Linked DNA regions of Drosophila melanogaster. The protein of the gene in region 1 interacts with the protein of each later gene in a pairwise test. Each region holds a gene or a part of one and is shown on either strand. Other genes may lie near its edges. The genes, in order: CG13775 and CG10431.

Region 1 (5,138 bases):
CTGGCGACGCTTTGCTTCGAACTCCGTAGCCAGCTGCCATGTTTCTTTGTCCAACGTATCCTTCCCCCGGGCGATGCCCAGCAGCCGTGAGAGGACCAGCAATCCATGCAGATCATCGGCATTACTTTTGACATTAGCTTTACGCATGTCCACGAAATCCTGCTGGATCATTTCAGTGTGCTCCTCGCTCACGTTGAAGCCGCTAGTGCGCGCTGTGGTCAAGTACTTGCGAAACTGCTGCAGACGTGATGGCTGCAGATAGTGGTGGGCTGCCTTTAGAGATTCATCAACAAGTTCCACGGCCTTAGAATCGGCATTAATGGGCAGCACAAAATCGCTCTGAAAACATATCATTAATAGTTTCTATTGGATATAATGATTATTTATATAAACTTATATTCTTACCGGCAACATACTTCGCCCTTCACTGAGCACGAGAACTGGAATATTTGCTTGGTAGTCTATTTGGTAATACTGAAAGTCGCACTTCAGTTCCTGATTATTGATCAAGTGCGCTAAATGCTGAACGGCATGAACACCATTGGCCTCCAGCTTGCCCTGTTGCATGCACGTCTCGTCGAGCACCAAATGCGTATGGGGAGCCAACTGTAGTACGCCGGAAACCAGCTTGTTTGTCTCATAATCCTTCCTGCAAGTACTCATTAATAGGTATTCAATTTTATACTATTTCTGCTTAGCCAACTTACTTTGGGGCAAAGGCTGCCGTGTTTAGTGTGACGAGAGTCATGGGCATGTAATGGCTGGCCGGCAGTAGCAGCTCCAGAATTTGATACAACTTGGTTGCATACGCCTCACAATTCTTAGGGAGATTACAAAGGTTAAGGGCGAACTTGCCGATGCTCTGCATCTCAGAACGACTGTAGACCGTAGATATTAGGTGGGAGAGCAAATACTCGGCAGCCAGATCGTCATCAAAGAGGCAGAGTTTAAGAAGCATGCGCAGATCTTTGTGCACAGCAAGGTGGGTTGGATACGTCTCCTCACATATTTCCGTTGGCTGTCGAAGGCTTTTGTCCAGCAGCGGATTGGCATGCGGCAGCACCTGGACTCCGAAGGCATGCAGGCGGGGTATAAGAAATGGCGATGGATGAGCTGCCTGCAGTTCACTCAAGTTTTCACAATCGTCTATTTCCAGGGTAGCGGCGTCTAGTGAAGCATCCACTGACAGAAAGCCCACAAAGTCGACCAGCGAGTTAAGCTGGTAGGTATCGAACTCCTCGTAAACCTTTACCATGCATGCCATGCTGGGACGATCCGGCAGAGGCGAGTTAATCAGGTAATCAGACCCAAGAACAGAGGATTTGGAGGCGCCGACTGGCTCGCTATCTTTTTGAATCTCTTTTAGGCAGGGTCGCTTGAACGTTGTTTCGCTCGCAACGTCCACATCCATGGCTTCTTCTTCGCCTACAATAGTCCGCTTCTTGGCTGAACTGGGAGATTGACCCAGACTGGCCAAATCGATCTGGGGACAGCACAGCTTCTCATGCTCCTTGCTCCAATCGTTCAGACCAGGCACAGAGACCACGAACATGGTACGCCTCTCTCCATGCACGTTTCCATCGGCGTTGTAGTCAATCACTTCGCCATTGGCTATTTTCAAGCAGTCCCTGTACTTTCCTTCCTGTACACGTTTGCTGCCGTCGGCGGATTTCACTTCGTAGCGCTCCAGATAGATTTCTGGGTCCATCATGTCCTGGATCATTCCACGAAAGCGCACCAGAGTCTGATCCTTCAGCTTGTGAAGAGGCGTGTAGTTGAGCAGGGGAATCGAGTGCCAACGACTGGGATCCTTGAGCAAGTCCTTGAGTGCAGCGCTGTCCGCTTGCTGGGCGGCCAGTTCATCGGGCGTGCTGGGCAGCTCCATCGCACAGGGCATTATCTAGTTAACGAATGAATTTGCAAATGCCTCAAAAACCTCGAATGCAAAAAACAACAGCTGCTTTGGCGCGCCAAAAACTGATTGCAGCATATTAGTGATGGTCATCGATGGGCCTATCGATATCTGCCAGGGATGTCGAACTCTGCCGCAGAACGGATGTAGAGGCGGATGTGGACATCCGCAAAAAATGTACAATTTGAGAATTACCAAAGAATTGCAGCGATGAGCAAGAAGAAAAGCAATGTGTGGCAGTACTTCTACAAGACATCCGGCACAGTGGCCACCTGTCTGCTGTGCAACAGGAACTACTCGAGGCGAGGACGCGGCACAACATGTCTGCGGAATCATCTGAAGAGCAAGCACCCACCGGAGTTCCTATCTCTATCCGGGGACATAAAGTACCTGGACCTGGTTAAGAGCGAGATCTCCATCGGTTCGCCACAGCACCCCACAGCCCAGCTAGAATTGAATCTGCACGTAAGTGGGATAGCATATAGATGTGCATACATACCTATGTACATGCATATGTACTGTGCAAGAAGTGTACCTTATGTGAAATCGGGGTACATGCCCTTCTAGATATTCTGTCATGTGGAGATGGTTTCCCCAAACTTAAGTTTCCATTCAAATATAGTTTCTTTGGTAGTTCATAAAGTAATTTATGCCTTCTCTTATTTAAAACTTTTTACTAATATAGCAACAGCGGATGCGGATTTTTATCCGCGTTTGGCTAGATCGGCAAACATGTGTTGTGTTTATAAAGTGTAGTTAAGGAGGTTTTAAAAATGTACTGTTATGGTCTTAGTATTATATTTTTATAAATTATGCGTTTTTCACTAATCTGATGCATTAAATTATTCTATTAATCATTTTAGGAAACAGATTCAGATCCATTGGACACCGAGGATATATCCTACAGCAAACGCTGTGATGAGAAGTTGGCCCTCATGCTACTAAATCACTCCTTTGAGTTCATTGAAGGACCAGGATTCGTAAATTTCATTAGGACGCTGCAGCCGCGGTACACGATTCAACCAAGGAGCTACTATGAGAAGATACTGTGCGAGGATATACAAAGGAAAATGCATCAGCATTTGAAGCAACAGGTGGATCTGCTGGATGCCATATCGTTGTCTACGAGTCTCTGGCGTGGTGACAAAGGCGAAGGACTGCTGAGCTTGTCCTGCTCCGGAATATCAAGGGATTTTCAGACTCACCGCCTAATGCTGAAATGCGAGGCTCTGAATTACGAAAGCACTTCGAAGCTAGCTTGTTGCATTCGAGATCTTGTGCCCAGCTTGGCCATTGAGGTGCCCAAAGAGAAGATACACTGCGTAATCAGGGACGAGATGACGGCGCTGCCAGGTTCCCTGCCCGATTGCAGTGTGCACCGCCTGCAGATGTGCGTTCGATTTGCTTTGCAATCGAACGAATTACTGCAGAACCTTTCATCCAAGTGCAAGCAAATAGTTGACCATTTTGCGTCGTCTAAGATGGCCAACGATCATCTGAAATTCATTCAAGAGATCCGCTTGACGCGAGACCCGTGCACACTTACACCTTACGATCCCTGTCAATGGAATTCCGCTTTTCAGATGATGAGCAGCGTGTTTCGAATGAAAGATGCTCTATCCTTGTACTGCGAAGAGTATAGTCTGGTCCAAATATATCCAGATGAATGGATAGAGATCGATTTGTGCAGCAAAGTAATGCAGCCTTGTGAAGAAACAATCAAGATATGGAGCAATCCATCTACGACCACCTCATCCGTAATCCCGCTGGTTGCCGCTTTACGGGATTCCCTCCGAACAGATGTCCATAACTTTGTCTCATCTGTGGTAAGTTGCAGTAGATAAAACCATAAAGTATTGTCTAATATTTCGAATGTCTAGACTATATGCAGTTTCGCCAGAAAGTTGCTTGAAGAACTGGAAATGAAGTTCGCCCACATCACTAGCGACATCAACTTTTTGATGGCCACATATTTGGATCCGAGATATAAGCAAGCATTTTTCACCGAACGTGAGGAGCAGTTGGTGGCCAATGAAGTTCTGCTTCAGCTCGCTGGAGTGCCAGAGGATTGCAATGGTCAGCCACCGCTGAAAATAATCAAAGTGTCATCCACATCGTCCCAGAAGAATGAATCAAAGATCGATAGCATTCTGGATAGCATACTGACAACTGGAACGACGAACACTCAACAGCCAAATACGTCAATGGGCTCCCAGTCTCAGATTAAGAATCTGCTATATCTATACAACTCCGAACCCAGAATCGATAGGAACATGGATCCCCTGATTTGGTGGAGGAGCAACATAAAATACATATCCTTGTATGGCATTGTTAGGAAATTCTTATCAGCACCAGCAGCAAGTGTGGTTAGTGAAGGCTTATTTAGAAAATCAACGCACTTGTATTTCGACATGCAGGCGGGCTTGAGCCCCGAAAGTGCATCCAAAATGTTGCTCATGAAGGCCAACTTTAGCTTTAGCAATTCGGAAATCAATTAGGATACAGTAATTTATATAATTTAAACGTATTTATGTACATAATATTAGCTTTAATCTTACAACTACTTGATTTTCCGGAAAATTAGATTTTGCACTTAAGCCGCGTGTATGGCTGATTGCCTGATGGGTCCTAGCCCCTGTAATCAGGATCATTGTGTTCCTCTTCGTCTTCCTCCTCCTCCTCTTCTTCATCTAAATTAAAAACATGTTTTTCATAATGTTGATTCTAAATAAAATGAAAGCTATGAAATTCTTACCATGATCTCGACGTTTACGTGTGTAGGCTCGTTTGCTGGCGACGGGCGCTTGATCAGTTTCGCCATGTAGCAAGGAATTGCGATATAATATCAGCGGCTGCCATTCCTCAGCTCGGCTGGATGGCATTGCGGGTGGTATTATCTTGTCCAGAAAGCTCATTATGACCTTCTTGTCTTGCTTCAGTAGCTTGTAGTTGAACTCGTTCAAAACCTCCAGGAAGAGCAAGCGAGTTGGAGCCCGCACCGGATCATCTGGCTCCTTGTTCGCAGCGAAATAAATGCCACCACGATGAATGGCGGCCACAGATTCGCGATTCTTGATGGCATCGAAACCAAATGTGAGCGCAAATCGCTTGGCCAACTCCTTGAGGTCCACAAACTCTTGCGAACTCTTTGAAACTATGCCATCCTCACTCTGCTCCTGCAGACTCTTAAAGACTGTGATCAGGCTCAAAAGGAGCGTCATAGCGA
Region 2 (6,198 bases), about 12 Mb from region 1:
TACGAAGCCCGGATAGCGCAGGGCGTCGAAAAGCTCGAAAAGATTAATGTCACCCCAGCTGGAAGAAGTGAAGTGTCAGACAAGTTTAAATATGAGCTCTAAGAAGACTTACGTGTAACCTTCGCGTTTCAGAGCCAGAACGGCATTTGGTCCCAGCCAGATAGATCCGTCCATTCGCGGCGTAAAGTGAACTCCCAGGAAGGGGAAACGTGGATCCGGCACCGGATAAATATTACCCTTGACCATATGCTGTTTTTCCTTGGTCAGCAGCAGATACTCTCCACGGAAAGGCACGATGCGGGGGTCTCTGGGGCATCCAGTCTTCTCAGCCAGCAGGTCGGATTGCAAACCGCCACAGGTTAATACGTTCTTGGTACGAACCGTTTGACCGGGCTTAGCGCCATGGATGGTCACTGGGTAGTCGGTGCCCTCCTTGGTCTCGGTAAACTTGCTGACATTGAAGTCCAGGTAGATATCACCACCGCACTGTTTGAAATCCTGACCATAATGCTCGGTAACCAATCCCCAGTCAACGATACCAGTGTGCGGACTGTGGAGCGCCATCACTCCCTGGCAGTAGGGTTCGATCTCCTGAATCTCGCTGCCTTCGATCATTCGCAGATCCGGTACGTTGTTGGCAATGCCACGCTTCTCCAAATCCTTCAGCAGCTTCACTTCTTTCTCATCCGTGGCCACAATTAGCTTCCCGGTTTTCTTGTACGGGATCTTTTTTTCATCCAGATAAGCGTAGGCCAAATGCATGCCCTCCACGCAAAGGCGGGCTTTCAGGGTTCCAGGCTTATAGTAGATGCCAGCATGGATGACGCCGGAGTTGTGGCCGCTCTGGTGCTTTGCCAGCTTGCACTCCTTCTCCAGGACAGCCACTTTGAGGGATGGATGGCGCAGGACAATCTCCCGGGCAGATGCGGCGCCGACGATGCCACCACCAACGACAACCAGATCATAATCTCTGAGGGAATACAAAACATATCAGCTAACAGCCTCAAAAATTAAATAAACTTAAGACTTCTAAAGTTTTTAAAAGTTAGAAAGATGTTTGTATATCCGTTAGAGTAAAGAGTGTGCGGGCACGTTTTTGATTAGGATCATCAGTCAAGTCGATCTAGCCATATCAATATGTTCATCGACTGTCAGACCGCAAGAACGTCGAGATCTTGGGAACTAATAAGTAAGATAAAGGCTGCAGATTGCAGTGAAAAGACTATGCTATGCAATTAAGAATACAAAAGTAAATAGAATATACATTGCTTAACTAAACATGATTTTAAAAGCGCATTCTAAATGAAAAGAAGCTTACTTAGCTCATTTGGAACACCTAAATGATATTCTGCAAACAGTGAAAAGATTCTTAGGATCGGAACACCCCCGAAAATGAGAGAACCCTATCGTAATCTCAAGAGACTTACCCGCAGCTCGACGAGCTGTGCTGCGATCTTTTGTGGGTCGCTGTGGATTCGTTGGGCGCGGCCACGCCCACATTGAGTAGGCTACGCCGAAGTCCCTGTACCAGCAGTCGCACCTGAGCCATTTCTCTTTCTTTTATGCTTTCACCACCCGCGCACGCACGTAGAATTTAGATTATTTACCAACCCGAAAAGAAAGACCTTGCTTGACCTTGCCTTCTCCTCCGCCAACTTGTGCGTACAGCGCGCTTTCGAGCGAATCGACAGACTGAAGCCCGTGGAAGTTTTCCGTGGGGCGAGAGAAAATAAATATGCTCACGGGCCGAGCATCTGGGCGATTTGTGGGGCCGAGGGGCGATCATAAACGCGCTAATTGATAAGTGTGACGGATTATTTTTGAAAGGGGGTGGTTGGGTAAGGACGTGTGTGTCAGCTGTTCGGTTTGTTGATAAGATTTAATGTGCCCAGCTGCCATTTTGCAAATTTTCTGTAATCTAACAATATTAAAATTTTTATTTCATTTTAAATATTTCAGGTTATACGATCATGCTGATTACTCGACTAAAAAGTATTTACAAGAAACAAACATATAATTTTAACCCTAAATTTGCTTTTATTCGATACGGAATCCCATTATATTTGGTCGTATTTGATAGCAAACACAAATGAATAAAGTTTCGTTATTAATTCAGAACTGCAAGAAAAAAGACCGCTATCAACAATATGTGAGACGCATTTTCCAACACTGAACACTTCAGAAGCAAAACAAAACCAGCTGATTTAGCAAACAACAGCTAGCTCACAGATGTAAACAACAGAAATTTGCAAATTATTACAAATTATTGTACCATAAATACCTTAAGATGCCCGCCCACTGCGCCGTGATAAATTGCAGCCATAAGTATGTGCACGCGGGCAGCATTTCATTTCACAGGTAAGTGAGTTGATTTTCAATTGACAAGATTACACTATAGCTTCTATTCTCCCAAAGATTTCCATTCAAACGGAAGGATCTTCTACAGAAATGGAAGGAATTTACCCAGAGGAGTGCTCAGTGGATGCCCTCAAAATGGAGTGCGCTGTGCAGTCGGCACTTTGGTGATGAGGACTTTAATTGCAGCAATAATCGGAAAACGCTTAAGAAAAATGCTGTGCCATCAATTAGGGTTTCGGAAGATGACTCCATGAGTGGGCACTTGGAACAGGTGTCCCCAAGCAATAGGCCAACGCACAAGCAAACTCTTTCTAGTGCCGCCGAATCAGCAGCAACAGGTGTTAAAGCCACTTGCCGCTTTTGTGGTTCCTCGGCCATCAATTGCTCCTCGTTTGACAAGAGTTTTGAGCTCTTTGGCATGATCCAGAAGTGCTTTCCTACGCTACAGATTCTTCAGGACGACACCTTGCCCAAGGAAATATGCCAGGAGTGCTGCCTCCAATTGGAGCGCTTTTCCCAGTTCATCGATGTGGTGATGTTGGCGCAGAGTGAATTGCAAAGAAAATACCGCCGACAACTGAAAATCAAACAGGAACCCTTGGTTCGTGTGAAACAGGAGGCCTGCGAGAGCTTGGACAATCTTTTTCCTGATGAACTGGACATGGGTTTGGAGCAGGACGATGGCTGCGATCAGGAAGAAACTGAACAAAAGTTTCAGTTCTGCGAGTTCCCTATGCTAAATGCCCAAGACATTATCAACAATTGTGATATCATGGAGATAATCAATCTGGACGATCCGTTTATCAATATTCCAGACGATGCGGATGTGGGACAGTCGGAGAGACTACAGCCTGGAAGAACGGCTAATGAAATGCTGCAAAACGAACTCCTAACCGAAGAGCACAATTATGCGAAGGAGGAGTGGCAACTACCCCCGCATCAGTACAAAACGGAAAAGGTGGAGGGAACGGATGCTGCGCCAGACGCAGCTCCTCCGCCTGCTGATCCCCCTCCTCTTCAGGATAATATAGACCCTCCCTCGGCCCCCGAACCGCGCTCATGCAAGCCCATTGTGACCAATGTAAGCCAGATACCTAACCCAATGATCTGCGAGCTGCTGCCACAGCCTGCTCCTCCCACGTCGATCAAACCCAACATCGTGGTACTTAACGATAGTGTGGTCGAATCCTCAGCGGCTTTTCGGCTTCACAACTGCACTTTGTGCACTGCCAAATTTATAACAATAGATAGCTTAAATCAGCATTATGCACACAGTCACAGTAATTCCACTCCCATGGTTAGTGTTCCTCCGATGAATATATGCCTTCCCAGCTTAACCATGAACCCTCCAATGAAAATGGAAAGCAACAGAGGTCTTGTGGCCACTGAACAATCCGAATACTGGCCGTTGGAGTGGCATAATAGTCCTGTATCCAAGCAACCTAGGAAAAAGATTGATATACTAGATATGCAGAGTAGTTTCCTGCATCACAAAGACCTTATACCGACAGCCACTCAACTGTCAGCACCCGCACCTGATCCTCAACTGGTTGCAGTGACTGCTAGCTACGCTAAACTGGCTAACAGGTATCGTAAGTTGCAGCTGAAATGCAAAAAACTGAAGTCACCAAGGAAGGTGCACAGAAAAACCTATGTGTGCCGGATGTGCAGGAAGGGATTTTCAAAGTTTAAGAACTTACACCACCACCGTCGTCAGAAAGCACACTTTGTAAAGTTAATACCCAATTTTTCAGGACGCTGTTCTGGTTGCCTAAAGTTTTTTCGATCCCGCTTGGGTCTTCGCCAGCATATGCGATACATATGTCAATCGTTGTCGCTCAAAAACCATCGGCGCCTTCAGAGCTTCAAGTGTCGCCACTGCCAGGCCATCGCCTTTGCCCACTGGCGCCTGTATCGTCGTCATGAACTCAATTGCAGGCCCAAAAAATCCAAAACTAAGGTGCAGACGGCAATGAATTCGAAAAAGAAAGTTACGCCCACCCAAGTATTTGAGTGTAATATTTGTAAAAAATCATTCGGTTCGCTCAACGGACTACGCCAGCATAACATCACCCACTCGACGGAGCGGCAACACAAGTGCGGCATCTGTGAGCGGGTCTTCAAGCGACGCAACGGATTGTCTCAACACATTAAGGGCTACCACCTGCAGCTCAAGCCGCATGAGTGTCCGGTTTGCCAGCATCGCTACGCCCTGAAATGCGATATGCTGAGGTGCAGGCATTCCCTGCGAAAAGGTCCAGCTGCCGGGGAGTAACAGGAAGCCCTGGAGATGACTCACGATTGGACAAGGAAATGGTATTTACTCAAGCAAATGCTATAATCTTGGAGGTAAAACCAATTTGTTTTCTAAAAAACAATGTGCGATAACACGCCACTACAATTTTCTTTCCACAGATGATCTGAATCTCGATGCACTAAATGCATTAAGCCTAGTCACTCTATGGGGTACTTAGTTGGTGGTCTTCCAGTACGGCACGCAAGGTGATGAAGGGTTCGCAGCGGGAATGAAATTGGCGCTAGTCAAGGTTACTTACAATAAGTAATTTAACCTAATTAAACCGACGCTTCATTGAGCAGGAACGAGGTTTCGCAAATCGGAACAACATTTTTGAAAAGGTTGAAAGGGGGAAAACTAAAGGCGATCTTAAATATTTTGTATTATATACATTTATTTATTTAAATTGCAGTATAAGTTTGTAGTAAACGTTCTCTAAAAGTACGTGTATTTTCTTGTGTATTCGTATTTAACGCATTAGTATTGCTTAAATCGCTAACTTTAAACGTGAAATACTGAATCGAAACTTATTGTTTTACTTTAGGCTGATCCAAGCAAAAAACTAAGATTGACTGCCAACATAGGATTAGTATATACAAAGAAGGTTGAATTTCACAAGTTTATTTGCTTAATATAACTATCAATTTTATTTTTAACAAAACTAAAACGAAGAACATAAAAATGGCACTAAAAGTACAAAATCATAAAGTAAAAAGCATACATTTTGGAGAACCCTCAAGGATAAACGTAATTCAACAATGAAATTTTGCGCAACACCAAACAATAAAGTAGTTCTTAATCTAAAACATTTTAAACTTAACTAAAGGTTAACTATAAATACGCTTTTGGTATGATCGTTATTAATGTACGTATGTATGCATATGTCCCTGGCTAGAGTGGCTCAGTTTGGTTGGTTTTAAAAAAATATATATTAGAAATTGAACGTTATATTTTGTTACTTGATAAGTTGTGATGGGTACTTCAAAGATCCAAAACAAACATTAGTCAAAGATAACATTCAATTCCCAAGATGTTTTTGCCAGCAAATCGAGTTTTTATATGTATGGGGCGATAAGTATGAATATAATTAGAGTATGTGATGCTTGAAAAATGCTTGTACGAAGCGTATCCTCTTCTCCCGGGATTAGTTCCACATTCGATTAACCTACGCCAGATAATTACTCGCTAGACTAAGGGCGAACCTAAGTCCTCTACTGGAAGATCGCTGCCCGCTGCTGGAACTGCTGACGCCGCTGGGCCCGCTCCTCCTCCTCTCGCCGGCGCTCCTCCTGCTCCGCCCGAATCTCGTCGTGGAACTTGTTCGTCCGCAGCTGTTGCTCAATTTTCGCCTCGAAGAAGTTCTTGGCTCCGCTCACTCCCACCTGCTCCACATCGACCTCCGTGAGGCGGGCCAGCTGATTCAGCCCAGAATCGGAGTCCAGTTCCCCGGCCTGGGCCTTCCTGAAGATCAGCAAGAACTCTCGGAATGAAATCTTGCCATCGTTATCCTCGTCCACCTCGGCAATCATCTGCTTGAGTCCCAG

What was found.
Region 2: the proteins of CG13775 (region 1) and CG10431 interact in a two-hybrid assay, tested with the Drosophila melanogaster proteins (one large-scale study listed by BioGRID).

What each region holds. Positions count from the first base shown.
Region 1 is NT_033779.5:6,953,857-6,958,994, reverse strand, and holds CG13775 (uncharacterized protein), read left to right. Parts: upstream 1-2,044; 5' UTR 2,045-2,122; coding exon 2,123-2,377; intron 2,378-2,651; exon of another isoform or gene 2,652-2,687; intron 2,688-2,775; coding exon 2,776-3,738; intron 3,739-3,792; coding exon 3,793-4,410; 3' UTR 4,411-4,540; coding exon of another isoform or gene 4,541-4,602; 3' UTR 4,603-4,638; downstream 4,639-5,138. Other genes in the region: CG3430 (uncharacterized protein), read right to left, coding at 1-339, 406-649, 708-1,897; SA1 (stromalin 1), read right to left, coding at 4,541-4,602, 4,668-5,138.
Region 2 is NT_033779.5:18,972,490-18,978,687, forward strand, and holds CG10431 (uncharacterized protein), read left to right. Parts: upstream 1-2,220; 5' UTR 2,221-2,287; coding exon 2,288-2,358; intron 2,359-2,415; coding exon 2,416-4,633; 3' UTR 4,634-4,707; intron 4,708-4,773; 3' UTR 4,774-5,698; downstream 5,699-6,198. Other genes in the region: L2HGDH (L-2-hydroxyglutarate dehydrogenase), read right to left, coding at 1-58, 113-970, 1,428-1,549; Swip-1 (Swiprosin-1), read right to left, coding at 5,866-6,198.